4 linked regions of the Pelodiscus sinensis genome follow. The protein of the gene in region 3 purifies or fractionates together with the protein of the main gene of each other region. This does not show direct contact. Links are inferred from orthologs where the notes say so. Each region holds a gene or a part of one and is shown on either strand. Other genes may lie near its edges.

Region 1 (7,106 bases), on a different chromosome or scaffold from region 3:
TTTGTTTCTTACATATAAAACAATCCTTGAGTTTCCTTTATATTTTTCCCCTAAAAATATCAAGTCTTGTCAGTCCTTGGCTAGAGGACTGCCATGGGAGTTTCCTCAGACCTTATCTGAAGAGCTAGAAGGTTGAATCTTTCAGAGTTTTTCTCTCTGGTCTTATATCAGTTTGGGTGTGTCTAGACTACATGCCTCTGGTGACAGAGGCATGTAGATTAGGCTACTTGGCATAGGAAAATGAAGCAGCTACTTAAATAATCGCTGCTTCATTTAAATTAAAATGGCTGCCATGATATGCTGATCAGCTGTTTGGCGGCACAGCGCGGTAGTCTGGATGCTCCGCAGTTGACATCAAAGGCATTTGTTGACCGCCCCGTTATGCCTTGTGGGATGAGGTTTACCGGGGCGGTTGACGAATGCCTTTGATGTTGACCGTGGAGCGTCCAGTCTACCTTGCTGTGCCGCCAAACAGCTGATGGGCACAGCGCGGCAGCCATTTTAATTTAAACGAAGCGGTGATTATTTAAATCGCCGCTACATTTTTCTATGCCGGGTAGCCTAATCTACATGCCTCTGTCGTCAGAGGCATGTAGTCTAGATATACCCTTTGCCATACTGGAGATACATCTTCTGGTCTTTGATTTAGCAGGTCTAGTAAGGAACAGCTAAATCAAATGCTAAGGTCACCCCTGGTAGGTGCGGGTACTCATTGATTCAAGAGAAGTAAAGGAAGCTAATGGGAGCATTTGCTCCTGTTGACCTGCTGTGGAGACAGCACCAAGCTTGTTTATGTAGCTTGAATTGTGTAAGCCAACCTTCCAGATCCTAGAATAGACCTGGCCTCAGAGTTTTAAACAGTAAAACACCTTCCTTGTTCAGTCTCTTGTTATATGAGAAACTAACAATGTCTCTTATTTTGCTGGAGAGCTTTTTGAAAGTTTGAAGATGTTGATCTAATATTTCTAACTTAAAAGAAGATAATTTTAAGGGAGAAAAATGTATATTGTCTTTATATGTATATGTATATGTATATGTTTATGCTCTTTGTTATCACTTTACACTTTACTTTTATTGTTTAGATCCTGCAAAGAAACACACCTACTGAACCCAGTAACAGAACTCTATGCTAGCACAAGGATAGTCCTTTCAGGCCTTACTGACGGATAAGGGCCCACATTATTTGCAAGTAGGCCAGAAGGAATTGGTGTGTCTGTCTGAATATGACAATTTTTCCTCTGATATCAATTTCTTTTCTTTTAGCATTTTGACTGGGAATTCTACACCATGCTGTGGTCAGAACAGTGCAGGTTAGAGCCAAGTATAAAAAAGACATTAACATCTGTAGCCTACATTGTTTCAGACTTCTGCCTAATTGATAATGGCATGCACAGAGTACAACCTTGTTTTGAACATTCCCTGCACCTAATCTCCAAGTTCTATCTTATTTCTTGCTCTTCCTACAGTCTGTGCTCCTCCAGCTCTCTTTTAGGATCTTAATTTTCTGTCCTACATTTTCCTCCCCACCCTTCCTTCACACATCCTCTTTCTAAGAGCTCAGAGCCAGAAGCAGCAAAGCAGCTGCTGCAGTTCACCCCCTTTCAGAAGTAGCCAGGAACTAGACCCGACATGCCCTTCCTTTCTGCTCAGTTGAGAGCCAACCAGCAGGTAGAGAGCTGGGGAAATACAGCAGCTAAGCATTAGGAACAAAGTGTTTGTAGGGGACAACATCAAGCCTCAAAGCCGTCCCATACATAGGATGGTTCAGGGTGTCTGCCCCAGACCCCAAAGTTTTTTTTTTGGGGGGGGGGCCCTCAACGGCTACCTCAACCATCCGATGGACAGGGCCCAGGGTATTACCTGGGGGCCTGCCATGCGGCAGCAGAAGGGGTCACCCCCTTCCCACTCACGGCAGCAGTGGGAGCAGAAGCAACCTAGCAACCTGCTCCATTCCACCCTGCTGCCCTATCCCAGACTGCTGCACTTGGCAGCAGGAACAGAATGCCTCGGCCCCAGGGCACTTCCTACTGCCACAGTGAAGCTAAGTGTAGTGGGCTGGGAGAGGGCACTGGGGTAGAGCAAAGTAGGCTGCAGGGTTGCTCCACCTCCCACTACCATGGTAAATGCAGGCTTCCCAGTAATCCCTGGCTCGCATTGCTCAGAGGAGGGGGCTCCTTCCTGGAGCTGCACAGAGCCAAGGCAGGCAGAGAGCTTGCCTTTGACCCACTGCACCACCAATCATACTTTTAACAATCTAGTCAGTGGGCCCAAGGTATCAGTTGCATGTTTACGTGATCACATCCTTGTATCAGAGGCAGCAGCATGGGGGGAGAATGGAAAGGAGTGGCTCTTTGGTTGCTGGTAATCTACAAGGAGCCAGCTTAAAATCAGCCTTCCTACGTGTATTGACTCCCACCTGTGCTGCAACCTCTCAATCAGAGGCGGCGGGGGGGGGGGGGGGGGGGGGGAGGGGGGGGAAGAAAGAGAGAGAGGTAGCTTCCCAGAAGCCTGTGCTCACAGGAAGCTTGCTTAAAATCTGGCTCCCCACCCTCCACGCTTCTGGGGAAGGGGCTGTGTGTAACAGTACAGGTTAACTGATAAAACCAAGATCATTAGTTAACTGTTCACAGGGGAGGGGAACTTTTTTTGGTCAGGGGGCCACACACGACAAAAGCAAAATAAACAAAAACCCCTCACTGACACAGCCCCAAATGAGGAGAGAGACATTCCCCACCTTTCCATTGCACACCAGAGCCTAGGGAGGCCCAGCCTAGTAGATTTTGTGTGCTTCCAGCCCTGCAATGGGACGGCAGGGGGACTGAAGAGCCAGCACAGGTTTCCCAATACTAGGGGGAAGGGAACTGAGCAGTGGGGGCTGCATCGGGGCCTGAGGTTCCCCACATCTGCCTTATACTATCATATCCCTATTTTTGACTAGGCATTCCAGCTGACAACCAGACACCTGGCAACCCTATGCTAGAAGCTAAAACTGGAGGGCTACATCTACACTGCAGGCTTCTTTCACAAGAACAGCCGTTCTTGTGCGAAAACTAGCGGAGCGTCTACACTGCACGCACATTCTTGCGCAAGTAAATTTACAGTAAAGCATCAGAACAGAGGGCTTCTTGTGCAAGAGTTACTCTTCTCCCCACAAAGAATAAGCCCTCTTGCGCAAGAAGGCAGTACAGATGAGCAATAGGGTTTTCTTGTGCAAGAAACCCCTATGGCTAAAATGGCCATCAGAGCTTTCTTGGGTAAGAGAACATCCACAAAACGCTCTTGGTGCAAAAGCACATCACTGCGGATGTGCTCTTGCGGCAGACTTTTGCAAAAGAGTTCTGGGGCAAGACGCCTGCAGTGTAGAAGGATCACTCAATAATTGCCCTGGTCTATTCATTCCCTCTGAAGCATTTAGCAACAGCTACTGCCAGAACAGGAAACTGAGCAGGCTGAGCCATAGTCTGACCCCCCTAAGGCTGTGGGGATGGTCCCTTGGGGTTCTGCCTGCAGGCAGCAGAGGTGTTGCTGTTAAGGGAAAAGCCAAGCATGTGCCATGCACTAGATTTCAAGCTGGGAGCTGAGGGCACATGGTGCCCAGCCATGATGTGCAGGAGGAGCCCATGCAGCAGTAGGGCAGGGTCCTGGGTAAGGGGGGAGGGGCTCCTTTGCCACCACGGGGCAGCAGGGAGGAGAGAGCCCGGGCTGCTCTCGGGCAGGCCCCACTCGTGCTGGCTTTGGAGCCAGTGTGGCCAGGATCCTGGTCACGTCAATAGGCAGAGGCAGGGGGCCCGCCTAGCCCATTGGCAGCTATTTGAACGTTAAACTCCACCTCGCTCTTTTCCTCAGCCAATGACAGCTAAGGGGCGGGTATGGGCTCTATGGTAACCCCTCAACCAGTCGTACGTTGGAGGGGGGTGGGGTGGGGCTGAGCACCATGGTAACCCGTCATCCAATGGAAGGGTGGATGCCGTGTGGGTGGTGCTTTACGGTCAGGAGACTGCCAATGACGACCAAGATTTCGCTGTGGGCGTGGCTACATGGTGGAAGCATCGCCCAATGGCAGGCCGGGTAGGGAGGGGGCAAACGACCGTTTCTTTGTGGGCTTTGACAATAAGATGGCGGGCGGGGAGGAGGCGGGGCTGGCGGGGGTGCTTGGTCCCGCCCCTTCTCTCAGGCGCGGAGCAGTCGGTGAGGCGGGAGCCGGGCGCGGGTCGGGAGGCGCCGAGGAGGTGAGTGGGGTCGGGCCGAAGCGCTCCGCGGTCCCGGGATTAGCTGCCCCCCCCTTCCCCCGGGGATCGTCTCTTAGTCCGCGGCAGCGAAACAGGGGCACCGGTCTGGAAGCGGCTGGGCGGGGAAGAGCCCGCGGTGGGGAGCGGATTCAAAATGGCGGCGGATCCCCCTCCCCGGGGTCCCAGAGCAGAGAGGGGCGACGAGCAGCAGCTGCCGCCGCCGCCCAGGGTCTCCTGGGAGCGGGCTAGGCCGCCTCTCGGGGGGCGCCTCCTGCAGCCTGAGCTCGCTGTTCCCTTTCGCGCCCCCTCCCCGCTTCCCGCCCAGCGCTCGCTGCCCCTCCCGGCGTGCGGCCCTCCCCCAGTGCCCCCTGGCCCGCAACCCCCCACGCGCCCGCCGCCCCCCAGCGCCTGAACCCCGCCGGCCGCAACTCCTCCCGTACGCTCCCCCTCCCCGTCGTCTGCCACCGCCGCCACGTACCGTGTGTGCTCCTGGGAGAGACTCCTGCCAGCCCTAGTCCTGCCTCGGAGGGGAGGGGTCGCTGCCCTGCCCCTGTGGGGGATAGTTGTAATCGGGGGGGCTGACCCCCCCCCCACCTACGCACCTCTGCGCGTTTCCTGCTCCATCACCACGCTGGCACCTTTCCTCTGTCCACTGCATCGTCTCTGTATCTTGTCCCCTTCCTCACTGCCCTGTACTCTCCTGCCCCCGCCCTGTATTGATGGGGGTGACCCCCTGGCGCTGTTGCCACCCTGGTGGTAAGGGCTGCTTCCCCCCCCCCCCCCCCCCAAACCCAGGCTCTGCTCTGCTATTGTATTTCAGAAATGTTGTCTGGTGTGCGCTGCCATTTATAGTTTTGCAAAATAGGTACCTAAAATTCCGTGGCAAGGCTTCTACAGCAAATTTGAAGATCTGTGCCCCATTCAAGTAATTGTAAATTAAATGTGCTCGTCAAACTACTTATTTTTCTATTGAATTCAATCTGTTCTTCCAGCTTTCAGATGCCCATGTGCTGCAATTTTTTGTATTGGCGCCTCTGAATTGTAGTAGCTAAAGGAGATTAACTACCAAATCAAGGGGCTTTTGGCACACAGGAAAACGGAACAGTTTGGGCTTTGGCACTCATGTAGAGTGCTCACGAAAGGATGAAATTGTGCTTCCCCATTTTAGATGAGGTTAATGTTTACTTGAAATTGTTGGGGGCAGGGGACTTCAACTTTCTAGCTTCTAAACAGACAGCAACTTGACCTCTCCTCGTTTGTCACTGTCCAACAGCAGTGGACCAAGTACACTTCTTGAATTGCTCTATTTTGGTGATCAGCAGAGAAACAAGATTTACAATTATGAACCCCGATCTACACTACACAGGGCAACATAAGGCAGTTTATGTCAATCTAACTATTTAAGTGCAGCCTTGGTCCCACCAATACAAATGTACACCACCGCTTTGACCTCCATGAGAGTTGCAAAGCTTATGTCAGTGTAGGGAGGGTGACATGTAGTCTTGTCACTCTCACCCCTAGGTCTTCATTCCAAACTGGGCTGCCACCTAAGCTCCTGCTGGGTTTCTTGCTTCTCTGCCCTGCCCTGCCCTGCCCTCTCCCCCCAGAGTTCTAGCTGCTTGGTCTGTGCAGCAAGCCTGGCTGCACAGACTGCTCCTGGCTTCCTACAGGACGCTTGACTCCTCACCAGGAGCAAAGCAGCCAACTGGACTCTAGGTTCGGATTTCTCTGCCAGAGATGAAGTCCCAGGTAGCTCTCTCCTCACCCCACCCACATCACCAGCTGGGAATTGGGGAGGCAAGAAGTCCAGGGGCAGCTGGGTACCCAGTAGGGGAGCTCTGTGGAGTCTCTTTAGTCAGTGGGAGTGCTCTTGGTGAGGACACTTACCACTGACAGGAGGCTAGTGTGGTCACTCTGGGGGTTGTAGGTTGATTTAAGTTTGTAGTGTAGATATGTCCATACACTTCAGAGTTAACACTCTTTTGCTATGAATGCCTGTTCGTAGCTATGGTTTGTGTGCAGATGCAGGAAAAACAGCAAGATCTTTTTAATTTTTTTTTTTTTTTTTAAAAGCAAGAGGTTAAAAACTCAGGTTTTTTTAATTGCAATTTGTGCCCCCAAACCCTAATTTTATGTCAGTGGGCAAATCTATAGTAGGCTTTGCTACCCTATAACTATGAAAAATAGGACTCTGCTTAATAAGAGGATACAAAGAGAACCTATTGGTTCTCAGGAGCAAAAATAATTGTTCCTGGGAATGACCTAAAATTACATGCAACAGGTCAAGTTTATCATTGCTTTGCATTGGCTAACTATTTTTCCCTGTGAGTATTAGAGATGTTAAGTGGCAGTTAATTAAGTTATTCCCCTGACTACTGGATTGGTCAATTGGGGGGGAGGGGAGTGCTCGCTACTGCCTCTGTGGCTCTGTAGTTTAAATGTAAATTGCTCCCGGGGGGCAGTATGAGCCGGGACCAAGCAGTCCCAACTTGTGCCAGCTCCAGGACCACTGCAGTTCTGCATCTTCAATGTAGTAAGAGCCTGCCGCAGAGCCACAGCAGGATGACATGAACTGGGGTGGCCCTGGGACAGCTGGGGTTCCCCCCAGCACTGGGTCCTACTTCCTTCCCTCCCCTCCCTCTGATACAGAGGCAGCAAAGGTGGGGGAACGTGAGTAGTAGTGACTCAACTACCTGATAAATCTAAATTTATCAGGTAGTCGACTACTCGAGTAGTCGCTTTCATCTTTAGTATGTATTACTGAAGTTGCAGTTTGACTAGGCTGAAACCGTCCATCTCTGCAGTATCACTTTGTCCTTTCCTATGTACCGTAAAACTCCAATTGTCTGGTAAACAGTGGTCTGGCACTCCTGATAG
Region 2 (7,190 bases), on a different chromosome or scaffold from region 3:
TTCGCGCCAAAGATCTGGAGCAGCAGGAACTTCGTCTGGTTGTCGGGCATGATGCCTGCGTACGTTGGGAGGGAGACGAGGTGGAGATGGCACATTCACCCGCCCTCGCCACGGAGTAGGGATGCACACGGGCGACCCTCTCTCCCCTCCGTGCAAGGCTGCTGACGCCAAACCCGCGAGGGCTCAGGAGCTGGGAGTCAGCAGGTTCGCATCCGGCAGGGGGAGAGAGGAGGGCTGCTGGCAGGCTGGGAGCCAGCAGCCACCTTCCTCTCCCCTCCCCAGGCTGCCAATTCCCAGCCCAAATAGACCTGGGGGGAGCAACTGGGGGCAGATCCATGGGGCCCGGGGGGGAGGCCAGGGGGGCAGATCCATGGGGGAGCTGTGCCTTGCAGGGGGGAGTGATACAGGGGGTTCTGTAGGGATGGTGTCCCAGGGGGTGAGTGGGGGAACCAGATCCATGGGGTGGTCTGTGCCCCAGGAGGTGGACAGATCCATGTAGGGGGAGCCGGGGTGTGTGTCCCAGGAGCGGGTGTTGGGAGCAGCTGTTGGTTCAGGGAATAGAACCCTGGAAGGCTGACCCTCCCCCCCCCACACACACACACACACACACTAACCACTAGATCGTGCTCCCTCCCGGGGGTTGCTGGGTTGCCTGGGGGGAAGGAGAGGGGGGGCAGGAGAGACAGTGCTGTGGGGAGTGGGGAAGCCTCCCTCGTGGCCCCACCCCCTTTCCCCAAAATTGCCAACAGCCCCCACCCCCGGTTAACCAGTCAACTAAACAAGTGGGATTTTACCTCCCAGCCATAGAGGGACAAACATGCCCCGTGCCGACTCGTGGAGACAGCGGTAGAGCCAGTGAATGTGCCGTCTCCATCGCTCACCCGCCTCTGACTCCCAGCCCAGCCCAGTCGCCCACACTGCTGCCCATCCCCATCCCTACCATAGTTCTCCATTTGCTCCAAGACGTGGATCCCACATTCCTGCTGCCTCGGGTAGTGGTTGAACATCCGCTGGATAAAATTGCGGGGCACAAACACTTCCTTGGGGAACACGTCCAGGATCTTGTTGTAGACGTCGAGCTCCCGCTCCACCCCAAACTGCGGCATCTTCTGGAGGGCCGCGTAGATGAACTCGATGTGACCTCGCCGCCGGACGTCCCTCTGGCAGAAGAGTTCCACCGCGCGCGTGAAGGCGGCTTTGTTCCGCTCCCCCTTGCAAGCCCGATCAAACAGCTCCTCCAAGGGCACCAGGGAGCCGTCACGGGACTCTCCATCTTTCTCCTGGTCCCCCTTGACTGCGGGGGTGAACTTGGAATGGCTCCGCACAGGCACCGGCCAGAAGCGCTAGCAGAGAAGCGGAGGCAAACAAGGCCTGTAGCAGCTGTCGTTTTACCTGGGGCTTAGAGTCCTCTGGCTGGGGTCAGGCCTGAGATCGGCACCACGCTGGCTGCAGCACCGTCCCCTTGGCTCTCGGGCGCTGGATCCTGGGTTCCAGGCCGGCTGCAGCGACCGGTACCACTCGCCGGCTGCTTAGCAGCCCATGTACAGTGACCCTGGCTTCTCCTGTCCACTGCACCGATCCATGGTGATGTCACTTGTATGGACAGGTACCGCTGCCCCCCCTTCTCTGCTTCCCGCTTCCCCCTCCCGCCCCCTACCTCATTTTCGCTCCCCCAGCTGCAGTGGGCGCTCAGCCCTTCCCACGATCATTTCCCGCCAGCCTCTGGGCAGCAAGGTTGGGGCAACCCAACAACAAGGGGGCAGAGAGGTTTACAAAGCTGCCCGAGGCGTCCGCCTGAGCCAGATTGCTTTGGACTGGCAGCTGCTCAGGGCAGCGCCCATGCAGAACGCGTCTCCCCCGGCGCCCAGCACCCTGGCCTGCCGAGGGACGCCTGGTACCTGGGCACAGCTGCTTCCCTGCAGCCGCAGGAGATCCAGCCCCGGAGCGAGCTGCCGCAGGACACCTGGTCTGGCAGAGAGCTCCCGGGCCAGGAGCAGCTTCCGCACACAGTTCATGGTGGGGTGTTTGTCCCACTGACACGGGGCAGGGGCCAGCTAGGGTGGGGCCACCGCTGCAGCTGGGAGAGTCAGTGTCATGGGGAAGGGGCAGCCATGCTGGGCGGCCAGGGTCTGCTTGACACAGAGAGAGGTGATGTAGAGATTGAAGCAGCGCAAAGGGTCAGGAAATCGGGGGGGGGGGGGGGGGGGGGACTAACACCTGTTCAGGCTGTCCCCACTCATGGCCACCATAGGAGTCCACACACGCCGCTTCTGTCTCCCTCCCCTCCCCCCTTACCTAGCTTCCCATTTATCCCCCGTGGGGAGACCACCCATCCCCCCAACATCCCCATCCCTGCCCACGTTTACTGCCCAGGTGCCCCCCAGCACCACACAGGCATGTCCCAGCCCCTGAACCCTCCTCCCCACCCCACACATCCCCCCACGCCCGGGCCATGCCCCCAGCCCCTGAACCCTCCTCCCCGCCCCACACATCCCCCCATGCCCGGGCCATGCCCCCAGCCCCTGAACCCTCCTCCCCACCCCACACATCCCCCCATGCCCGGGCCATGCCCCCAGCCCCTGAACCCTCCTCCCCACCCCACACATCCCCCCATGCCCGGGCCATGCCCCCCGCCCCCCCAAACCTCCTCCCCGCCCCACACATCCCCCCACGCCCGGGCCATGCCCCCCGCCCCCCCAAACCTCCCCCCCACCCCACACATCCCCCCACGCCCGGGCCATGCCCCCCGCCCCCCCCAAACCTCCCCCCCGCCCCACACATCCCCCCACGCCCGGGCCATGCCCCCCGCCCCCCCCAAACCTCCCCCCCGCCCCACACATCCCCCCACGCCCGGGCCATGCCCCCCCCCGCTTGGTTCCCGTCCACGCGCGCCCCGTGTCCGACCCGGGCTCCTCACCGCGCCGCCGTCTCCGCGGCCCCCTCCAATCCCTGCCGGGTCAGGGGGCGGGGCCAAGCACACGTGGCGCTTCTAAACCCCGCCCCCTCCCAGGCTCCTCCCCCGTCCGATCAGCCACGCCCCGGGCTGGGATAGAGTCATGCACGTGGGTCCTACTCCCCCACCGCAGGGAGCCCGGACCCCTGGGTCCCCTCACTCCCAGCGGCGGGGGGAGCCCGGCCTCCGGCCTCCTGCTCCCGGCTCCCCCGCGGAGAGGAAACGCCATTTGCTTGTTCCCATCACACTAGACGGCGGGGCCACCAAGTGAAGTGAATGGGCAGCAGGTTGAAAACAAACCAAAGGAAGTTTTTCTTCACTCAGCGCACAGTCAACCTGTGGAACTCCTCGCCTGAGGACGTGAAGGCCAGGACTTTACCAGGGCTCACAATAGAGATGGGTAGGGGTGGTGTCCCTAGCCTCTGTTTGTCTGGAAATGGGTGACAGCGGAGGGGGATAATTCCCTGGTGTGATCCCTCCCTCTGGGGCACCTGGGATCCACACTGTGGGCAGACAGGACACTGGGCTCTGACCCAGTGTGACTGTTCTTATGCTGTGTTTAAACGTTGGTTTCCCAGGCTGGGGTGAGGATGAATCCGAGCCTGGGAGCTGCCTAGCCAGGGCCATTCAGCCTCAGATGTGCCTGGACTGGCAGGTTCCCTGAGTCACTCAGGTAGGGCCAGGTGCAAATCCTCTCTCCCCACCCCACTCCACCCCACCTCACCCTCCAGGCATCTCTCATCCAGACTCTGGGGGAGGGAGACCGACCTGCAGGGAGGTTTGACAGAACCCACAGCCAGGCACAAGACTCTGTTATTATTTAAGTTCCTTCACCTCCATCCCCCAGATCAGGCCCCATTGTGTCAGGTGCTGTATAGACAGTCCCTGCCCCCACAGTGATGATCACTGTGAAGTCCGATCATTTCACAGATGGGCAAACTGAGGCACAGACATTACTCAGGGATTCTATAGCAGAGCCCGGAACTGAGGTCAGTTCAGGATGCGGCCCTGCCTTTGCCCCCCCCCACCCCTCCGACCCTGGATTCCCCTCCCCCACAGAAGGGACAGGGGCAGGGTTTGGAGACTGCTGAGGAGGCCTCCAACTCCAGCTTCATTAACAACACAGAGGACCATCATGTTCCTGCTTGATTTCCCCCCCAGTCCTGTTCTCTCCTTCGGGGCTGCTTGGCTCCATCCTCCCTCCCTCCCCCAAGCTGAGGCCCCTGTTGCTGTGCTAAACACCTGCCCTGCCCCTGCCCAGAGCTGGCTGCATCTCAGCACTGGGTATCTCTGCACGAACAGCCGCTGGGTCCCACCCCCTGGGTGACTGTACCTCTGGGCTGCATGAGCGATCCCAGGATAAAGACTCCACCCCAGAAGGAGCTGGATTGTGCAATCCCTTTGTGCAGGGCTTTGTAAGGCCTCCATCAGCGAGGGACTACGGGGACGCTGCCTGGGCAACCGAGGGAAGCAGCGGCTCCCTCTTTAAAGCACTGCACGCGCATGGCCCGGAGATGTGTGTATTGTCCCCATTGTGCAGATGGAGAAACTGGGGCACAAGGAGGGGCTGGGGCCTGTTTGTGGTCGCACGAGGGGGCAGTGTGAGAATGGAAACCCAGGCGGTGCTGGCCCTAACCACTAGACCCCATGCCCCTCTCAGCGCCAAGAATAGACCCAGAAGTTTGCCTCACAACCACCTGCTTTAACCACAGAGCAGCTGCGAGTTCAGGGGACAGCCCCGGGGTCCCCCCATCCTGGAGCTAGACCCCAGGCACCCTGGTCCTTAGCCCCACCCCCACCCCTCTCGGTGTCTGGCTCCCAGCCCCCCCTCATCTAACTGCTACACCCCACTGCCCTCCCCAGACAGTGCGAGCCCGCGGGGAGCGGACCCGCCCCTCACCTTCGAACCTGCCACCTGGCCGGCTCCCGCGGCGGGGGCGTGGCTAGCCCCAGAAGGGGCGTGTCCTGGGCCGGGATTGGTGGAGGCGGGGGGCGCTGGCCAGCCCCTCTGTCGGAGCCAGCAGCTGGGCGTGGGGCGGCTCTGGGCTGGGATGTGGCAGCTCCGCGGAACCGCCGCCTGGGTGGCCGCGGGTGCTCCGGGGTTCCGAGCAGCCGGCGCCCCTCGGCCGGGGGCAGCAGCGTCCCGGGTGAGTGGATCGTGCGAGCCTGGGGGTGGAGATCCCTGGGCGGGCTGTGACTTGGGGGGGACACGGAGCCGGGGGGGCTGTGACCTGGGGGAAGCAATTCGGGGCAGATCCATGGGGCCCGTGCCCGGGGGGGCAAGTGGGGGAGAGTCCGAGGGGGGCAGATCCATGGGGGAGCTGTGACTTGAGGGGGACACGGAGCCGGGGGGGCTGTGACCTGGGGGAAGCATTTCGGGGCAGATCCATGGGGCCCGTGCCCGGGGGGGCAAGTGGGGGAGAGTCCGAGGGGGGCAGATCCATGGGGAAGCTGTGTCTTGCGGGGGGGGGGGGGGGAGTGATTGACGGGTTCAATAGGAGCAGTGCCCCAGGGCGTGAGTGGAGGAACCAGATCCTTGGGGTGGTCTGTGCCCCAGGAGGTGGAGTTGGGGGGGGCAGATCCATGTAGAGGGAGCCAGGGGGGTGGGGGCTGTGCCCCAGGAGTGGGGGCTGGGAGCAGCTGTTGGTTCAGGGAATAGAACCCTGGAAAGCTGACCCCCTCACAACACTAACCACTAGATCCTGCTCCCTTCAGGGGTTGCTGGCTTGCCTGGGGGGAAGGAGATGGGGGCAGGACTGGCCCCACCCCCTTTCCCCAAAATTGTCATGCTGCATTGGGGAGACTGGGGCAAGACCCCATGAAATCAGGGCTCCTTTCCCATGGGGCTGCAGCATGCGCCCGGCAGACCCCACGGCGGCAGGGGGCTGCACCCGGCTGGCTGTTGAGCCCAGGCAGGGTTGGGCTGGGACAGCGGCTGCGAGTTTTGCCACTTTGTCAGTTGCCCACTTTGCTTCCTGGCCTGCCCAAATGCCAATCATTAACCCGGCGGCGGGGCGGGGCGGGCGCAGCGAGGAGAAGGTGGCAGGAGCTGGATTATTTAAGCCACATGCTCCACAGCGCTGGGGGTTTGAAACCTTGAATGGCTGAATGGGAGCATCTCCCCCACCCCCGCCTGTGCCCCGGGGCCACCCCGAAATCCCTTCCCTGCGCCCTGTGGTGCCCTCCTGTAACCCGCACTCCCACCCCCGGAGCTGGGATAGGGCCCTGGCGTCCGGCCCCCCGCTTAGGCCGATCGTGGCATTAGCCTATTTCCCCTCCCCCATTCATTCCAGATTTTGAAGTCAGCCACGTGACAGCCTGTGTGAGCCCCCCCCCCCCCCAGCCTAGCGTGAACCCAGAGATCTGGTGCTGGCAGCTGCACCCCGCAGGGCCTGGCCCAAGGGGCAGCAGCCTTTGTGACCCTGCTGTCCTGCAGCACCCTGGCCTGGCTCCGGCCCACAGCCGCTTTGTTCTCCAGCCTTGGCCGCTTGGCCTTGGCAGCGCAAGCAGGGGGCAATTTAACTGGAGAGCCTGTTCCTGTCGCCTCGCCCAGCCACGCGGTGCCTGCCCGCAGGCGCCTCGGTGGAGAAGGGACCTGCCCCAGCCCCTGCCCACCGAAGCGGGACCTGGAAAACCCAGCGCCCCCCACCCAGTGCTCTGCAAAACCTCAGGTAGCCACAGCCCCCTCCTAGCCTCCACTGCAGCACCGCCACTGGCTGGGCACCCCACCAATGCAACTGTTCCTCGCCGACTGGGCCATAGGCAGTCAGGCCTAGGGGTTGGAGCCACAGATCAGTGGCAGGCTCAGGCCTGGAGCAGGGATAATGGCAGCATCGGGGAGGGCTGCTGGGCTCAGAGCATGGCCCAGGATGCCAGGCGCTGACCATTTATTAGGTGCATTAGGGGCACTGGCAGGGCTGGGGGCAGGGCCAGGGCCAGGACCACCAGCACAGAACAAAGATGCCGTTCCTGCCCCAAAGACCTTCCAGGCCAGCCAATGCTGAGCCTAACCCCCAACCCCCAACCCTTCTCCCTCCCCTACCCCTAATGCTTAACCCCCAACCCCCAACCCTAACCCTTCCCTCTCCCCTAACGCCTTACCTCAACCCCTAACCCCCAACCCCTTCCCCCTCCCCTAACCCTAATGCCTTACCCCCAACCCTCTAACCCCCAACCCTTCTCCCTCCCCTACCCCTAATGCCTAACCCCCAACCCCCAAACCTACCCCTAACCCTTC
Region 3 (7,491 bases):
AAATGCCCCTCATCTGAAGTCACAAATGATTTCATGACACTGTTCTATTTAATTTTAGTAAAATAAAATTGTTTTATTGTTTTAGAAATAATGCTTTCAGCTTATTCAAATTTTACTGACAAGACAACATTTTATTAACTATTTGATTACATTTTAAATTTTAGCCAAAAGACTGAGAAAGAAAGCTAAGAGCCAAAATATCACACTGGTAAACTTTTACAAAATTAAGCAAAAAGCACAGTTGAAGGAATGGGGCTGAACACAGCCTGGATCTTACTTCTCATGCCAATAAATAGGCCAGCTATAGACAAGGGTGATTCACTCATATTATACTGCAGCAAATATTGCCATCATCCTCTGTGGAATTCACCATCAAAGACCAATTTTAGAATGGACATGATGTGTTAAACAGGAGACCTCCTGGTGGATTGTTCAAAAATAAGCGGAATTAGCATATTACCTAGTAACCCTGGCTGTACCCTTGCTAATGGATGTACTGTCTACTTTCAGATTGCACAGGCCAGAATTACATGAGCCTTACAATACTAGAGGCCATTATTTGGGAACACTCTGCCACCATAAGCCAAGATCTCTGCCAGATTTAATGCAGTTCATGATACTAAAGTGAATGAGACCATTACAGGTGCTTCTGTTTTCACTTAGGCAGAACTCTTGTTGATTTAATAGGTACTAAAAATCACACCCAGAGGTGGAAAGTACATTGCTAGAGTTTTCTAAGTTATAGTGATATGGTTTTTCCTATTACATACTGACTACGTGAAGGAATGGAGCTTAAGTCTTTCCAAGTTGCCAATACCTTCTGGCTCTGATAACACACATTTCTTTCACATTGAATTCTGATGTTACAAAATCACTGAATGAGGTAGTTAAACTTACTGGCTATTTAGAAAGGGAAAAGCATGTGATTATAAACACATGCTCTCTACTTTTTAAATAGCAGGAGAGAATATAAACAACAAATATGCTGGTAATCAACAGTGACTGGAACAATTTTATCATAATAAGTATTTTGCCAAAATTGACTTGTTTCTTAAAATATAAGAAGGGATGGCACTTTAAACCTTATCAGTGTAAAAACTTAAGAAACAGAGACTATTAAATAAAAATACCAGAAAGCTCAAAACTTTAGAATGTGTTACAAGAATAGAAAAATCAGGAAATGCATACTCCCATCTCTATTCTGAATATTATCTGCTCCAAAAATCCAAAGCATTATAGACTACTAGAACTGGAAGGGACCGCGAGAAGTCATCAAAACCTCACAGCAAGACCATCTACAATCATCTCTGATAGATGTCTATCTAACCTGCTCTTAAATATCTCCAACGACGGAGATTTCACAACCTCCCTAGGCAACTGAGTCTCTTTCCATGTCAGGCATTTGGGGTCCAATGCTGTAACTCCAAAACAAAAGTAACATGAAAACTAAAACTTCTTAATATTTTTGCAGTGGAAAATAATATGAATGAAACAGACTAGGTACAAGCAAAATGCATTCAAAAGTCATTCCAGAACCAAAAACAACACAAATAAGTAGCTAAAGTTTGAGGATTTTTTTTAAAAAAAATCATGTAGTAGAAACTCAAGTACACGAGGAAAAGGTATGCACCCTCATGACATCCTCTTTACAAGCATATATTTCAATTGGAATAATCTGAACATGTCAGACTTTAAAAAAAAACCTAAGACTGTAACTCCTTGAAACTCATATAGCACACTCTACATGTCCATCTTGCCTATTTAGAAGGGATTACTTTTTAAAACAAAAATGTTTATCATCATAACACTCATCCCCAAATGCTCTGCAAGTCTAACATTTCAATGGCACTTAAAAAGGTACCTATTTGCCACACAAACCTCCTTCTTTATAGCTTTCAAATATCAGCAGATAAGAATGAAACCCTTCACTGCCACAAAGAAATTTTAAACACTGCTTCTGAAATTAATCCCCAATGAAGGAGCCTCCCTCTGTGCGTGAGACAGAAGCCTGACACGTCTGACTACTTTTTTCTCCCCCATTTTATCACTGTCGATATCCCATCTCGCTGGTGACCATAAATGATGATGAGGAGGAAGACACCTTCTCTGACATGCTATCTGGTGAGAGCAAGCCGTTGTGAAAAGCACAGGCAGCAGCTTAGTCATCGCACCCCTCCTCCACCCTCACACACACCGCATCCTCCGGGATTCACACCGGGCAAGAGAATGGCAGCACCGGGAGAATTGTAGCGACTCTCTGTGCGAAGCGGACACTTTAGACAAGAATAGGTGGTGTCCGGGGTGGATTAAAGCGAACGAGGGACAGGGAACCACTGACACCCCCGGCTAGGGACCCCTATGACACGGCGATTCCTGCACAACCGAGGGCCGCAGCGCCCGATCCCCCGCGCTTACCTTCCGCCACGTCCTCGTCGATAGCCCCCTTCACCTGGGAGAAGCACCACTGGAAGTCGTTACCGCCGCCGCCGCCACCTGCCACCCCTGCGGAGACAGCGAGCGATGAGGGCGAGCGGCGAAGGCAGCCCGACCCGGCCGAGGGCACCTAACTCTCAGGAGGCTTGGCCTGACCCATAACCCACCCGGCCATGTACCTCCGCACTCGGCCCCAAACCCGGCCAGGCCCGCCTCCCCATGGCCCCGCGGAGCCCGCTCGGCCCCCTGTGACCTAGATCCGCGCTGCCCGGCTAGGCCCGACGCGCTGCCCTCCCGGGTTCCGCAGGCACAGCGCCTCCGCCCGGCCCCTGCCCTAGGCCGGCTCCAGGCCCAGGCCTCCCCCGCTGACGGGCGCGGCGCGGCGTGCGTCTCTCTCACCTGCCATGTCGCGCACTGTGTGGGGGGCGGGGGCCTGCGGGGCCCACGAGGGGGAGGCGCCGACCGGGACCAGGTCAGAGCCGCCGCCGCCGCACACAGCTGCAGCCGCTGGAGGTTTTGGGGTTTCAAAATGGCGCCCATTGCCGGTCGGCCTGATCCGGTGACGTCATCCGTCTGCCTCCCTCTGGGAGGGGGAGCTCGGAGCGCCGGGCGGGGAAGGAAGCGGGCGGGGCCGGAGCTACACGGGGGGGACGAGGGTAGCTGAAGGGGCGTGGCGGGACTTGGCGGGGTCAGGCTGCAGCTGGGCTGATCGGATGTCCCGGTTTTGTAGGGACAGGCCTGATATTCGGGGCTTTCTCTTATGTAGGCGCCTATTGCCCCCGTCCAGATTGGTCACACTTGTGTCCGGTCGCCCTAGCGCAGCCGGAGGGGCTTGCTGGGCCGGGCCAGGCGGAGGAGGCTGCCACCCAGGGACACAGCTGGGAAGGTCGGCGGAACAGATGGTTCGCTGGGGCGACTGGGAGCCTCCGTGAGGCGGGGGTGTGGGAGACAGGTATCCCCCAGCGCTTGATTTATGCCACTCCGAGGCTGAGCTGGGTTTGTCAGTAATGAAAGTAAAAATATTGCTGGAGCTCCTGTGTTGCTTTCATCACAAACTAAGCCCCCGTAGGACCAGGTGAGGGGAAAACACTCCGTTCAGGCTGAGATTACAAGTATGGGGACGTTGTAAATCAAAGCAAGAGAGGAGCAGATGGGTTGGAAAGGCTGATGTGTTGTCCTTACTGTGTTTAAACACAACACTAGCTAACCCTGTTTCTGTCTGTTTGGCTCATGTTGGATAAACTGAAATGGAGGCCAAATTCAGAGGCAAAAAAAAAGTGAGGGAGACCCCAATTTGGTAGGAAAAGGATTAGTGCTGAGAAGGCTAGGCAAACATCATCTCCATTCAGAATCAGCATGGACAAGATTGAGCCATGGTATTGCACAACAGTTGCTCAACATTACCCTGAGAAATCAATCAGGAAAGAGTGAGCAGATCTGTACTAGTGTTTCCATTCCTCATACCAGCTTCTGAAGTCATTTCAGCAAAACCATACTCAGCAATATCAAAGGCCACTAAAAGGTGTAACACTGTTCCTAGAATCAGGGCTGGAATCAGGAGGTCATGGAGTCCAGCCCCCTGCCCAAAGCAGGACCAACCCTAACTAAATCATCCCAGCCAGGGCTTTTTCAAGCGAGGATTTAAAAATCTCTAGGTAAGGAGATTCCACCACCTCCCTAGGTAACCCATTATAGTGCTTCACAACCCTCCTAGTAAAATAATGTTTCCTAATATCCAACCTAGACCTCCCCAAATGTAACTTGATACAATTGCTCCTTGTTCTGTCATCTGTGACTACTGAGTATAGCCTCTCTCCGTCCTACTTCCCCTATTAGTTCCTCGCTGTTTGTGAGTAGCAGTTCCTTCAACACTTGTACCAGGAAGTTATCCCCAACATTTTCCAAAAACTTCCTGGATTGTCTGTATACTGCTCTATTGGTCTCCCAACAGATGTCACGGTCTACGTATACACTGCAGGGGTTTTGCACAAGAAGTCTTTTGTGGAAAAATTGCACAAAAATTTCTTGTGCAAAAGCACATCTACACCTCAAAAGTGTGTCACTTTTGCAATTCACTTTTGCACAAGAGAGCATCCACACTGCATGGATGCTCTTGCGTAAGAAAGATCTGATGTCCATTCACAGAATGGCCATCAGAGCACCTGTGCTTTTTTGGATAGGCTCCTTTTGTGCAAGAAACCCTTGTAGAGCGTCCACACTTGCCTTTTTGCGCAATAGCTGTAGCGCAAAAAGGAGTTATGCCTCATAAGAGGAGGCTTACCTTCACCAGAAAAAGCCCTCTGTTCTGCCATTTTACAGACTTGTGCAAAAACGCATTCGAGGTGTGGACGCTCTGCAGGTTTTTGTGCAAAAATGGCCATTTTTGTTCAAAAACCCTGCAGTGTAGACGTAGCCAGGATGATTCAAGTCCCCCGTGAGAACCAGGGCCTATGATTCTTCCTAGAATTAAACTTGTTTTGATTTTTTCCCCTTCATTCTCCTCTTGAAAGAGGTTCCATTGTCATCTTGAGATTAGCCATATCAATATTATAGAACATATGATAACCTTACTGCGCATTGGGATGGTTTGTTCCTGCACATTCAGTAAGGCATTTTTAAAATACAGTCCGCTCTCCTGGATTCCTTTCCCCTTTATGTTAGCATCCCAGGAGACCCTACCCATCAGTTTCCTGAGAGAGTCAAAGTCTGCATTTCTGAAGTCCAGGGTATGTATTTTGCTGCTCTCCTTTCTTCTTTGGTCAGGATCCTGAAATCAACACAAATAGTACTTCCATGGGAAAATGCCCTGAATCTTTCCTTTTTAAAAGGAAAATGATGTCAGTGTATATTAGAATCTCATAACATCTTTTAATCCTCAATTAATTGAATCTAGCATACCGCTGACATTGCATGTTACTCATTAATGCCAAATGACTTTTCTGTTCTAAAAAGTTTCTTTTTTAAACTACAGCCTGGAATGATACAACATGAAATAATAATATTGGCCCCTATCCATCCAGGTGCAACCATTGGCTCCACATGAGTGCAGGGGTCCACCTAGGCATATTATCCTGTGCCTGTAGGATTGAGTCTACCACCCTGCATTCCCTAGGTAAATGCCCTAGTCCCTAAGCCACTCCAGAAACCATCACACCACCCTACCTTCAGGGTGACCCTTATCAGGCCTTCCTAATGTGGGAGCCAGCTCCATCTCTGAGGCAGCAGGTGTTGGCTATCTAAAGGCCCAAATCTCCATTCTGTTCTGACAAAATCATGTCGATATTATAAATGTAGGACAAATGCACTATTGTGATTTCAATTCATATTTATATTAACATGTTTTCAAACAAGTATAAAATCAACAAATCCTTCTTAGGAGCAGGATGTGAATGTCTGCATTATAGGCTACATTTTATTTCCAGATGTCTTCCTGGAGGGTCATGGCACTTAGATCCAGCTGGCCGGGAGCTGGTCCCGGCCATTGGCGGCCCCCGTGGCATGGTGCTTAATTCTGGCCGGCCGGGGGCTGGGCCCAGCAGTTGGTGGCCCCCACAGTGTGGGGGTCGCAGATCAAAAAAGGTTGCATACCACTGGTTTAGACTGAGCTTTCGCTAGCTGGTTTTTATTCAGATTCCAGCTCTCAAGGGATGTTACATCCGGGGTGAATGACAGGGAGCTATAAAACTAGGCATACTGAGAACACCACAGCCCATATGGTTGATGATCTAGAGATACTTCATATGTTGAACAAAAAAGGTGTTAGGATTGAGCCTGGGGCCTGTACTGCTGAGAGCGATTGCCCCAAACCATTATGTGGGATTTTTCAGAACAGAGTGAGTTTCTGTTCACCTATGCCATGTCTTGTAATGATTTAAGCAACACCCTGTGATCAGCAATATCAAAGGCCACTGAAATGTCTGGAAATGTTTGGCAGTGCATCTTTCCTCTCTCCCATGTCCAAGGGAGATTCTTAACCACCCAAGTTAGTATCATGTCCTATCAAAAGTCCAATTGGATGATATGTGGTACATAGGTATTAATTTAAGGCAGGCATGTCCAAAGTCCGGCTAGCGGGCCAATTGCGGCCCGTGTTCTGGTTTAATACGGCCCCACAGGTAATTTGGCAATATCTATCTTTTATGGCCCCCAACGAATCCATATGTATTGAGATGAATACATTGTAAAATCTCAGTTAATGTCAGTTGGTCTAAATCAGTTATAAATATATTTGGACACAACATGTATACTTGGTGTTATGTTCCTGTTCATATTTTTTGAACTTAAAAGTTGACAGACAACCTTTATTACCAATAATATGTAATGTACTTTACAATGTTCCTGACATATATTTCAGCTTCCTGGATTTTTTTTTTCATCTGGCCTTTTTTTCATATGAAAGGCAGAGTGATTTAACACCTGTTTAGATTTGTCATCCATGTGACGAAATGAAAAGTATGCCGTTTGCAATAAACTTTGCATAAAATAGTTAATTTGCATTTAATTTTAATGGTTCAAAGAATGTCAGGCAAAATGGTCGGCCCTCAAGCATGTTCACTTCATCAAATCTGGCCCTCTTTGAAAAAAGTTTGGACACCCCTGATTTAAGGGAAGAACCATGGCTAAGAAATGTATAATTTAAATTACCTTTGCCCTCAAGATTCATGACCCTTGTAATTTGAAAAGAAAAGAAAAGAAAAGAAAAGAAAAGAAAAGAAAAGAAAAGAAAAGAAAAGAAAAGAAAAGAAAAGAAAACAGTACTGTGTATTTTTCTGGATTTTATTACACATTAAACAAACTGAAAATTAAACTTCCAGCAAAAAACTAATTACTACACCTTTTACTGAACTAAGTATGAACTAAACACAGTTATCAAATCAATGTTACAATGGGAATTGAATTAATAAGCCCATGAGTTAACAATGATATAGAATGGAGTCAAAATCAAATCATTCGATGAGCACAGTCAAGCTCAGTTCATGAAGTTTAATACACTGCATGATTCTTTTAGATACTAACCATGGAAACCTAAAAAAGCATAACATCAACAGAACTCAGCAG
Region 4 (6,939 bases), on a different chromosome or scaffold from region 3:
ATTTGTTTCCATGCAAACAGCTGGGCTATTCTCATCATCTGGGTGGAGTATTTCAACTTCTGGAAATGAGTCAAGCAAGTGTTACTAAATATCTGAAATGCCCAGTAAAAAAAACCCATCTATTAAAAACATACTTTATGTGTACAGCTGCTGAATGATGGATGAATATCCTCTTCTTCCACATATTTCCTTTTAAAGTATGTGATCTTGGATGTTGTTATAGGATTTGAAATTCCCCTGTAATGTGATCCTGTGGGTAATAAATCAGATATGACAAATGACATGTGGTTTGCCTGAGGTTCTCCAAACAAAATACTTTTAATTTCCCTTCTCACTACAAGATAAGTCTACCACATTTGTTTATATATATTTGCAGTGATCAAAATAAACTTTTTACCATACGAATAAATAGCTCGTGATGCAATAGGCTAGCACGAGCAATTAAAGCTCTTTGTGATAGACACTGTAAGACATTTGTGTGTCTGGCATACTTAGACATTCTCTGTATATTTTTCTTTAATAAAATTTTCATCCCAAGTTTACAGGTCCAACAAGTAGCGGCATTCACCAGCGCATCCTGTTCAAATTCCAGGGACCATGAATTACAGGTGAAATTTTATTTTACAATTGCTAAATATATTCCATATATCTGGAATAAGATTTAGTAGTTTAAAATAATGTTTCAAAAGTTGGTCATTTTGTGTCTTAGTGTAAAACCAGAAATGTACATGGAAACATATAATTGACGAAAGCAAAGATCAGATATACTCCACCAAAGGTAAGAGTTTGTTACTACCTTTCATGACAAGAAAAGATAACATGTCTTTGGACAAATACATTTTATAGAACCATCATTACTCAATATTTTTATTAATTGGCACCCAGAATAGTTACAATACAATTTTGTAATATTTTATCTTTGCAACTATGTAAAGAAAGATGGCCATGTTTGGACTCCTTTCTCCTCCCACTCCACATTAAAGAAAGACTCTAGAAAGCCCAAGACATATATTGTGTTTATGACAAATCTCTTGTTATTATAACCAAATATGAGCAGGATTCCTTAAAGTCAGTAGAAAAGAAATGACAGCTAGCCAAAATGTTGTGACTTTTACCCCTTTGGAGAGTGACTGTAGGATAATATGGTGTGACTATCTAAGCAAGTCTTTTTTAATTCTAGAGAGTCCAAGCATGAATCAGATGTACAGAGCCTTTTCTCTAAACCAGTGGTTCTTAACTGGGGGTGCATGCACCCCCTGGGGGTGTGAGATGCCCTTTCTGGAGGTGTGAGACATACCAGATTTTTATGATATATCTTAGGTTTAAAGAACTGACCTACTTCAACGATTTTTAAGAAGGGGTGCGAGAACATATTTTGAGAACCACAGGGTTGCAGGCTGCAGTAAGGTTAAGAACCACTGCTCTAAACCTATGCTCCGTGTGAATTTTCACTTCAAACATTACCTTTAATCATTTTCCCCCGGGCCACAGTCTCCAACCTATCCCTATGCTTCCATAGATGGTGAAATTGAAATTACTGCCATCTGTACACACACACACACACACACACACACACAGGCACTCCCTCCCCCCTTGGATGAATGAAAGTAGCTGCATGTTCGAGCGGCCCCGGGCTCTGGTGCCTTGGATACACCCAGAGGCGCGATACTGCCGTTCATGTTGCCCGGCTCACCGTGCGCGTCGGGGAATGCCCCCTCCCTCCCCCCGGCCACCAGCCCAGCTGCCGTGCCTACCTGGCGTCCTGTTCCCCTGCGGCGCGGCCCGGCTGGGCTCCGCGGGGCTGGCCTGGCTGCCACAGTGCGACTCCCACGGGGTGTGGTACTCCGCGAGCTCGGGCCCGCAGAACCGCTGCATGGACAGCACCAGAGTCATCGCTGCCCTCTCCCTGCAAGCAGAAGGCGCAGCGGGTCAGAGGCCCGTGGGACCAGAGCCCGGCGGCTGCCTCCTCCGCTTCCCAGCGTCTCTCGCGCCGGGCCCCAGCGCCCCTGCCCGGCCGGCTCAGCGCGCCTCTGGCTCCCGCTCTCCCTGGCTGGATCCCGGGCTTTGTCGTTCCCCGTACCCGCCCCGCCTGCCTGCACCCAGGTGCCTGGTGCTCTCCGCGGGGACGCCCCGCGCTCCGCTGAGTGACCAGCTCACTCGCAGCAGGGCCCCCCAGCCACGCACCGATCTCTTCTCGTGAAGAACCGCCAGGCAGACCCGAGCCGAGCGATGCTCGCAGCGCGTCGGGGTCAAATCCGCTCAGTCGCTTCCCGGGCTTGTTCCTAGGAGCCCGGCCGCGGCAGCCACATCGCGCGGGGCCGGGGGGCGGCTTTCTCCCGGAGCCCCAGCGACACACACCGAGAGGCTCAGGCAGTTGTTTCCACTAGCCCCGATCGGACGGAACTGGATCTGCCTCCAGTCAAAACACTGGGAGAGTAAGACAGAAAATTGGCTGCCGTTTCAAGCCGGGAGTTGCAGTCCCCCAGGAGCCAAGCACAACATCGCCGGAGCAGGCAGAATATTAAGCAGGAGCGGGGACTCCAGGGCCAGGGCCAGGGCCAGGGCCAGGCAGCGATCTGCCTCCCATTGCCAAAGCGAAGCGAGGGAGAGAGCGCGCAAACTTTCGGAGAGGGGCCACCGCTCACTCCCCCCCGCGGCCCCGCATCTTGGCACTGGAGCACAGAACAATGCACCGAGACAGAGCTGGCCCCGCCCCGCCCCTCGCCAAGAAAGCTGGAGTTCGTTTCCTCCTCCTGCGCCTCGCAGCTCAGTGCTACTGCAGGAAGACAGGGATCCAAGGGGAGGGCAGTAGGGAACCGGGACAGGGTGAAGAGAGGGGTGTCTGTGGTCCCAGCGATTGAAAGTGCAACCAATTAAACACTGCCCGACAGGAGAAAGATATGCGAGGCTGTAGAAGAGAGCAGTTATGAAAAACAAATCATTAACATCTGTCAGGTACAGTGAAAATGCACAGGAGTGCCACTTGCTTCTGAAACGGACAAGTATCGACTTGCTAGCTACTCTGATGGCTCAATCCTGTAGACCTTACTCACGCAAAAATTCACGTTCACTTCAAACTGAACAGTGGGAGTCAAATGGGTTTTCAACTAAAGTATGTGCGAGTTTTTGGCTGAGAAAAGACTACAGAATCCAGCTAACAGGTGCAATTTCAACTTCGCCCCGGGAAACCAAATTATGATGTGGCTTGGAATTCTCCTAGACACTGGGAAACACACAATGTATTTTTAGTTCATACTTTCAATGATAATATATTAATTACGTCTTTCTTTTACTGGAGAAAGAACCAATGGCACAGGGAATTACTGACCACGACCTATTAGCCTCGCAGATTGTATTATATTAGTTACTGTAGCTTATTTATTTACCATTCGAGTGCCCCCAAATGGACAAGTTGATCCCGACTAAGAAAAAGTCAGTCTCACCCAGCACAGAGAATCAGCTAAAAATCAAATATATATGCTACCGAAAAAGATTATGCTGTCATTGGCAAGCACTCATGAACTGATCTACTCATTAATCTGAACAGTCACTCACAGTTAGACATCAGTTTCCTGATGCTGGCACTATGTCAAGACTTCGCATTTGTCCTTAGAGAAAAGAGGCTTGGAAGAGACCCTGTACTGCTTTGGAGAAAGCTTCAGAGGGGTAGCCGTGTTAGTCGGTAACTGGAAAAACTTAAAAAACAACGGATAGTCTAGCAGGTCATGATTTCTCTGCATGTAATAACTTCTGTCAAAAAAGGTATCCACGAGAGATGCTGATTTATAAGATGTTTTTATTAAAATGAAATGTGGAATATAAGTTTTCAACCCTGCTTTTTAAAAAACTATTTCATTTCAAACAGTGCTTTCTGTATTTGAGCACAAATACACAGACCGCACACACGAAAAGAACAGACAGGGATGCTTTCTGCCCAGTTCTCAGAGTAGAAACAGATTCATCTTGAAAAATACAACGTTGCCGTTTTTAAAGTAAATTAACTGTGCCTGCTATTTAGAACATACACAATCAATAGTTTGATTGCTTTTAACTTTTATAAATTGCTACTGTCCATGGACAAAATGTGTTCTCTGTAACATTTCATAACAGGATAAAAACAAAGCATAAATAATAATAATAATAATAATAAATAATAATACATAGCACAGAGCATTTAATCTGCTGATCTCAAAATACTTTGCAAAAGTGTCACCATCTCCAGTTTTGCAGCAGAGGAACTACTTTACATGCACAGAGGTCGAACTGCCCTTACTTCTCCCAACTCCACTTGTCTTAAATGAAAGTTGCCGGTACTCAGAACCTCTGAATAGCTGGCTCCAGAGGGCTATAGGGAGACTCCAAATCAAAGGGCATATTTGAAAAATAATGTCTTAAAGCATCCTGCTTCCCTAGTAACTCAAGGTAAGTAATACCTGACTGCACAAATAGGGACTTCATCGTGACTGCCTGCAGGCTAGGGCAAGTACCATTCACCCTGAGTAAGGACGACAGAATTCGGACAAAGGCCTTTAGCGAACCAGTGGCACAACCAGAACTAGAACCCAGTTCCCCTAGTCTCCCAGTCACCTTGGCAATCCATTAACACTACTTTGTGATATGCACTATGGATTCCAGTCAATAGGCACTTAGGTCATTGAGCCTTTTTAGAAAATCATGAGAATAGTGAGTTTCCAACACAACCGGCTAGAAAAGGACACACTATGTATACTTGAGTGTACATTACAGTCACTACACGAATCGGCAGCAAAAGGTTGACATTTAGGGCTACAATTAAAAAAAACCGCCAAACCAATCCATTGTGTAGCCTTGTGGGGGTTCCGTAGCATTTTTACTGACTCCAATCCTTAATCCGTACACTGCCACATCCTTCCCACGTTGTCAGCCAAATGCCTGCAGTAGGACACCCTGAGGCACCTACAGCGGCCTGGAGGTTAAACGTCAGCCGTTCTCCGCACGCAGTTGTATATGGTAAGGCCACTCCACATTACTGCTTGCTGCCATCTGCTAGGATGTGCACTCGCTATTCCTGCAGCGGCTCTCTGGTGCCAATCGGAAAACTCCGGGGATGCCACTCCCTTTGTAAGAAGCTTGGTGCAATGCCAGGGAAAGAGCTCTGTGCACTCGGGGAATGCCTCTGAGACATTAGCTATTGTCAAACGCTTGTTACAGCATTGCTGCGGGGGTCACACTGGGACAGAAACCGACTTACCGTGGCTACTCCCTGCCTACACAGCTCAGGTCTCTCTACGCGCCGTGTGGTTCGGGGCCAGGCCGCAGGGCACCGGCCGGACTTTCTAAGCACTGCCGCGCCTTGCGCCCCCCAGCGGGGCTGAACAGCCCTCGAGCCAGGGAGGTAAGAAGTAAACTGGACCCCATGGTCTGGCTGCACCACGCCTTGGGCTCAGTCCAATCCCCGGCACCCACAGCCCCGGCCCAGCCGAGCTTGCGGTCCAGGAAGGCCCCTGCCACGCCACGCGGGGGGAGGAAGGGGAGAAGCGCAGCCAGGCGCGCAGGGGTGTGCACGAGTCTGGCCGCTGAGCGCAAGCGAGCCCCTGTCTCCGGCGGAGCTGTCAGCCGCACGGGCGGTTTCTGGGCAGGGCTGGGCCCTGCGGGTCTGACGGGGCGTGGCCGCGCCCGTGCAAAGGAGGCTTCGGCGGGAAGCTGGCCCGCAGGGAAAGCCAGGCCGGAGCGGGCCGCAGGCCGAAAAGCCGCTGGCACTTGGGGCAGGGCGGTGGAGGGACGGGGGCGGCGAGCCCAAGCCCACAGTGGCGGTAGCTGCAGGAACAGCGCTGGGCGAGGCTCCAGGCCGGCAGGGGACGCGGCGCGCTGGCCGAGACGCTCCGGGTGGGGCCGCAGGCCGCCGCGGACCCAGCCTGGAAGCGGCAGCCAGAGGAAGGAAGCCTTCAGAGAGCCCGAAGCGAAGGGAGAACGGCTCTGTAGCCCACAGCGGCAGAAAGTCCCAGGCGCTGCTGGGTCACCGCTCGGCTCCCAGGAGGAGCTGTGGGCTTGCGCGGGGAGAGGGACACGTGGGAGCGGAAGGAAAGGTTGCTCATAAAATGCTCATAGAGCTGCCCAGCTAAGGTGCCCTCTCTTTGCAAATCGCGGGGCAGAGCTGGTCCCGGCCCTGCCCAGCTTGAGGTGGGACACACGAACAAACACCCACGGCCTAAGACAAAGTACTTGCCCACAGATGAGGTGTAGGGAAAGGCGGGGCTGTTCTAAAGAGAAGCAAGCAGGAGTTTCCTGAGGAGGTTGGTTTGAAAAGAGAGAGAAGGTAGGTCACAGATGGCTACGTCTAGACTGCAGGCTTCTTTCAGAAGAACCTTTTCTAGACGAGATTTTCTGAAACATCTTTTTCCTAAAGAGAGCTTTCACACTGCAAAAGTGCATCGAAAAAGCGATCTGCTTTTTCAAAAGAGTGTCCAGTTTGAATGGATGTTCTGGCATGTAAGCTGTGATTGCTATGGCTGGAATAGCCACCAGGGCATCTGTGCTTTTTCCTCTTTCATCTTCTTCCAAAAGATCACCCTCTTCCCCGTCCACACACGCCTTTTTCCAAAAGAGCTCCTTCGCAAAAAGACTTCTTCCTTATAGAATGAGAATTACCAATGCCAGGAAAACCCCTCTGTTCTTTCGATTTTCTTGTGGAAGAACACAATTGCAAGTGTGGACTACTCTGTACTGTAGATATATCCAGACAGAAAGGAAGCTCTTTCAGCCAGAAGGTATGAAGCAGATTGAGGTAAAAAGTAAAGTGGAAGAAAAGTGCAAGGGGAAGAAGGGTAGAAGGAGGAAACGAGACTAGTTATGTCGGGGGAGGACAAAATCTTGCAGGGCCTTGCAGTCATGTGATTTTCCATTGCTTCATATGGAAATGTAGATACAAGCTACTGGGCATACATCTGCATGTGCCAACAG

The links.
Region 1: the proteins of PPP2R2D (region 3) and CDCA4 purify together in Homo sapiens (affinity purification with mass spectrometry; 3 studies listed by BioGRID and IntAct, counting the BioPlex papers as one, with this or other methods). This does not show direct contact. The link is inferred for Pelodiscus sinensis from reciprocal best matches to the Homo sapiens genes PPP2R2D and CDCA4.
Region 2: the proteins of PPP2R2D (region 3) and ECSIT purify together in Homo sapiens (affinity purification with mass spectrometry; 3 studies listed by BioGRID and IntAct, counting the BioPlex papers as one, with this or other methods). This does not show direct contact. The link is inferred for Pelodiscus sinensis from reciprocal best matches to the Homo sapiens genes PPP2R2D and ECSIT.
Region 4: the proteins of PPP2R2D (region 3) and SERTAD4 purify together in Homo sapiens (affinity purification with mass spectrometry; 3 studies listed by BioGRID and IntAct, counting the BioPlex papers as one, with this or other methods). This does not show direct contact. The link is inferred for Pelodiscus sinensis from reciprocal best matches to the Homo sapiens genes PPP2R2D and SERTAD4.

What each region holds. Positions count from the first base shown.
Region 1 is NC_134714.1:17,435,367-17,442,472, forward strand, and holds the start of CDCA4 (cell division cycle-associated protein 4), read left to right. Parts: upstream 1-4,096; 5' UTR 4,097-4,229; intron 4,230-4,707; exon of another isoform or gene 4,708-4,869; intron 4,870-7,106. UniProt on the Homo sapiens protein: May participate in the regulation of cell proliferation through the E2F/RB pathway. May be involved in molecular regulation of hematopoietic stem cells and progenitor cell lineage commitment and differentiation.
Region 2 is NC_134729.1:12,699,233-12,706,422, forward strand, and holds the start of ECSIT (evolutionarily conserved signaling intermediate in Toll pathway, mitochondrial), read right to left. Parts: upstream 3,023-7,190; 5' UTR 2,918-3,022; intron 2,339-2,917; exon of another isoform or gene 2,218-2,338; intron 2,130-2,217; 5' UTR 2,016-2,129; coding exon 1,899-2,015; intron 1,344-1,898; coding exon 941-1,343; intron 56-940; coding exon 1-55.
Region 3 is NC_134718.1:47,487,878-47,495,368, forward strand, and holds the start of PPP2R2D (serine/threonine-protein phosphatase 2A 55 kDa regulatory subunit B delta isoform), read right to left. Parts: upstream 3,005-7,491; 5' UTR 2,840-3,004; coding exon 2,833-2,839; intron 2,503-2,832; coding exon 2,416-2,502; intron 1-2,415. UniProt on the Homo sapiens protein: Substrate-recognition subunit of protein phosphatase 2A (PP2A) that plays a key role in cell cycle by controlling mitosis entry and exit. Involved in chromosome clustering during late mitosis by mediating dephosphorylation of MKI67.
Region 4 is NC_134713.1:145,014,302-145,021,240, reverse strand, and holds the start of SERTAD4 (SERTA domain-containing protein 4), read right to left. Parts: upstream 3,008-6,939; 5' UTR 2,185-3,007; intron 1,907-2,184; 5' UTR 1,894-1,906; coding exon 1,755-1,893; intron 251-1,754; coding exon 135-250; intron 1-134.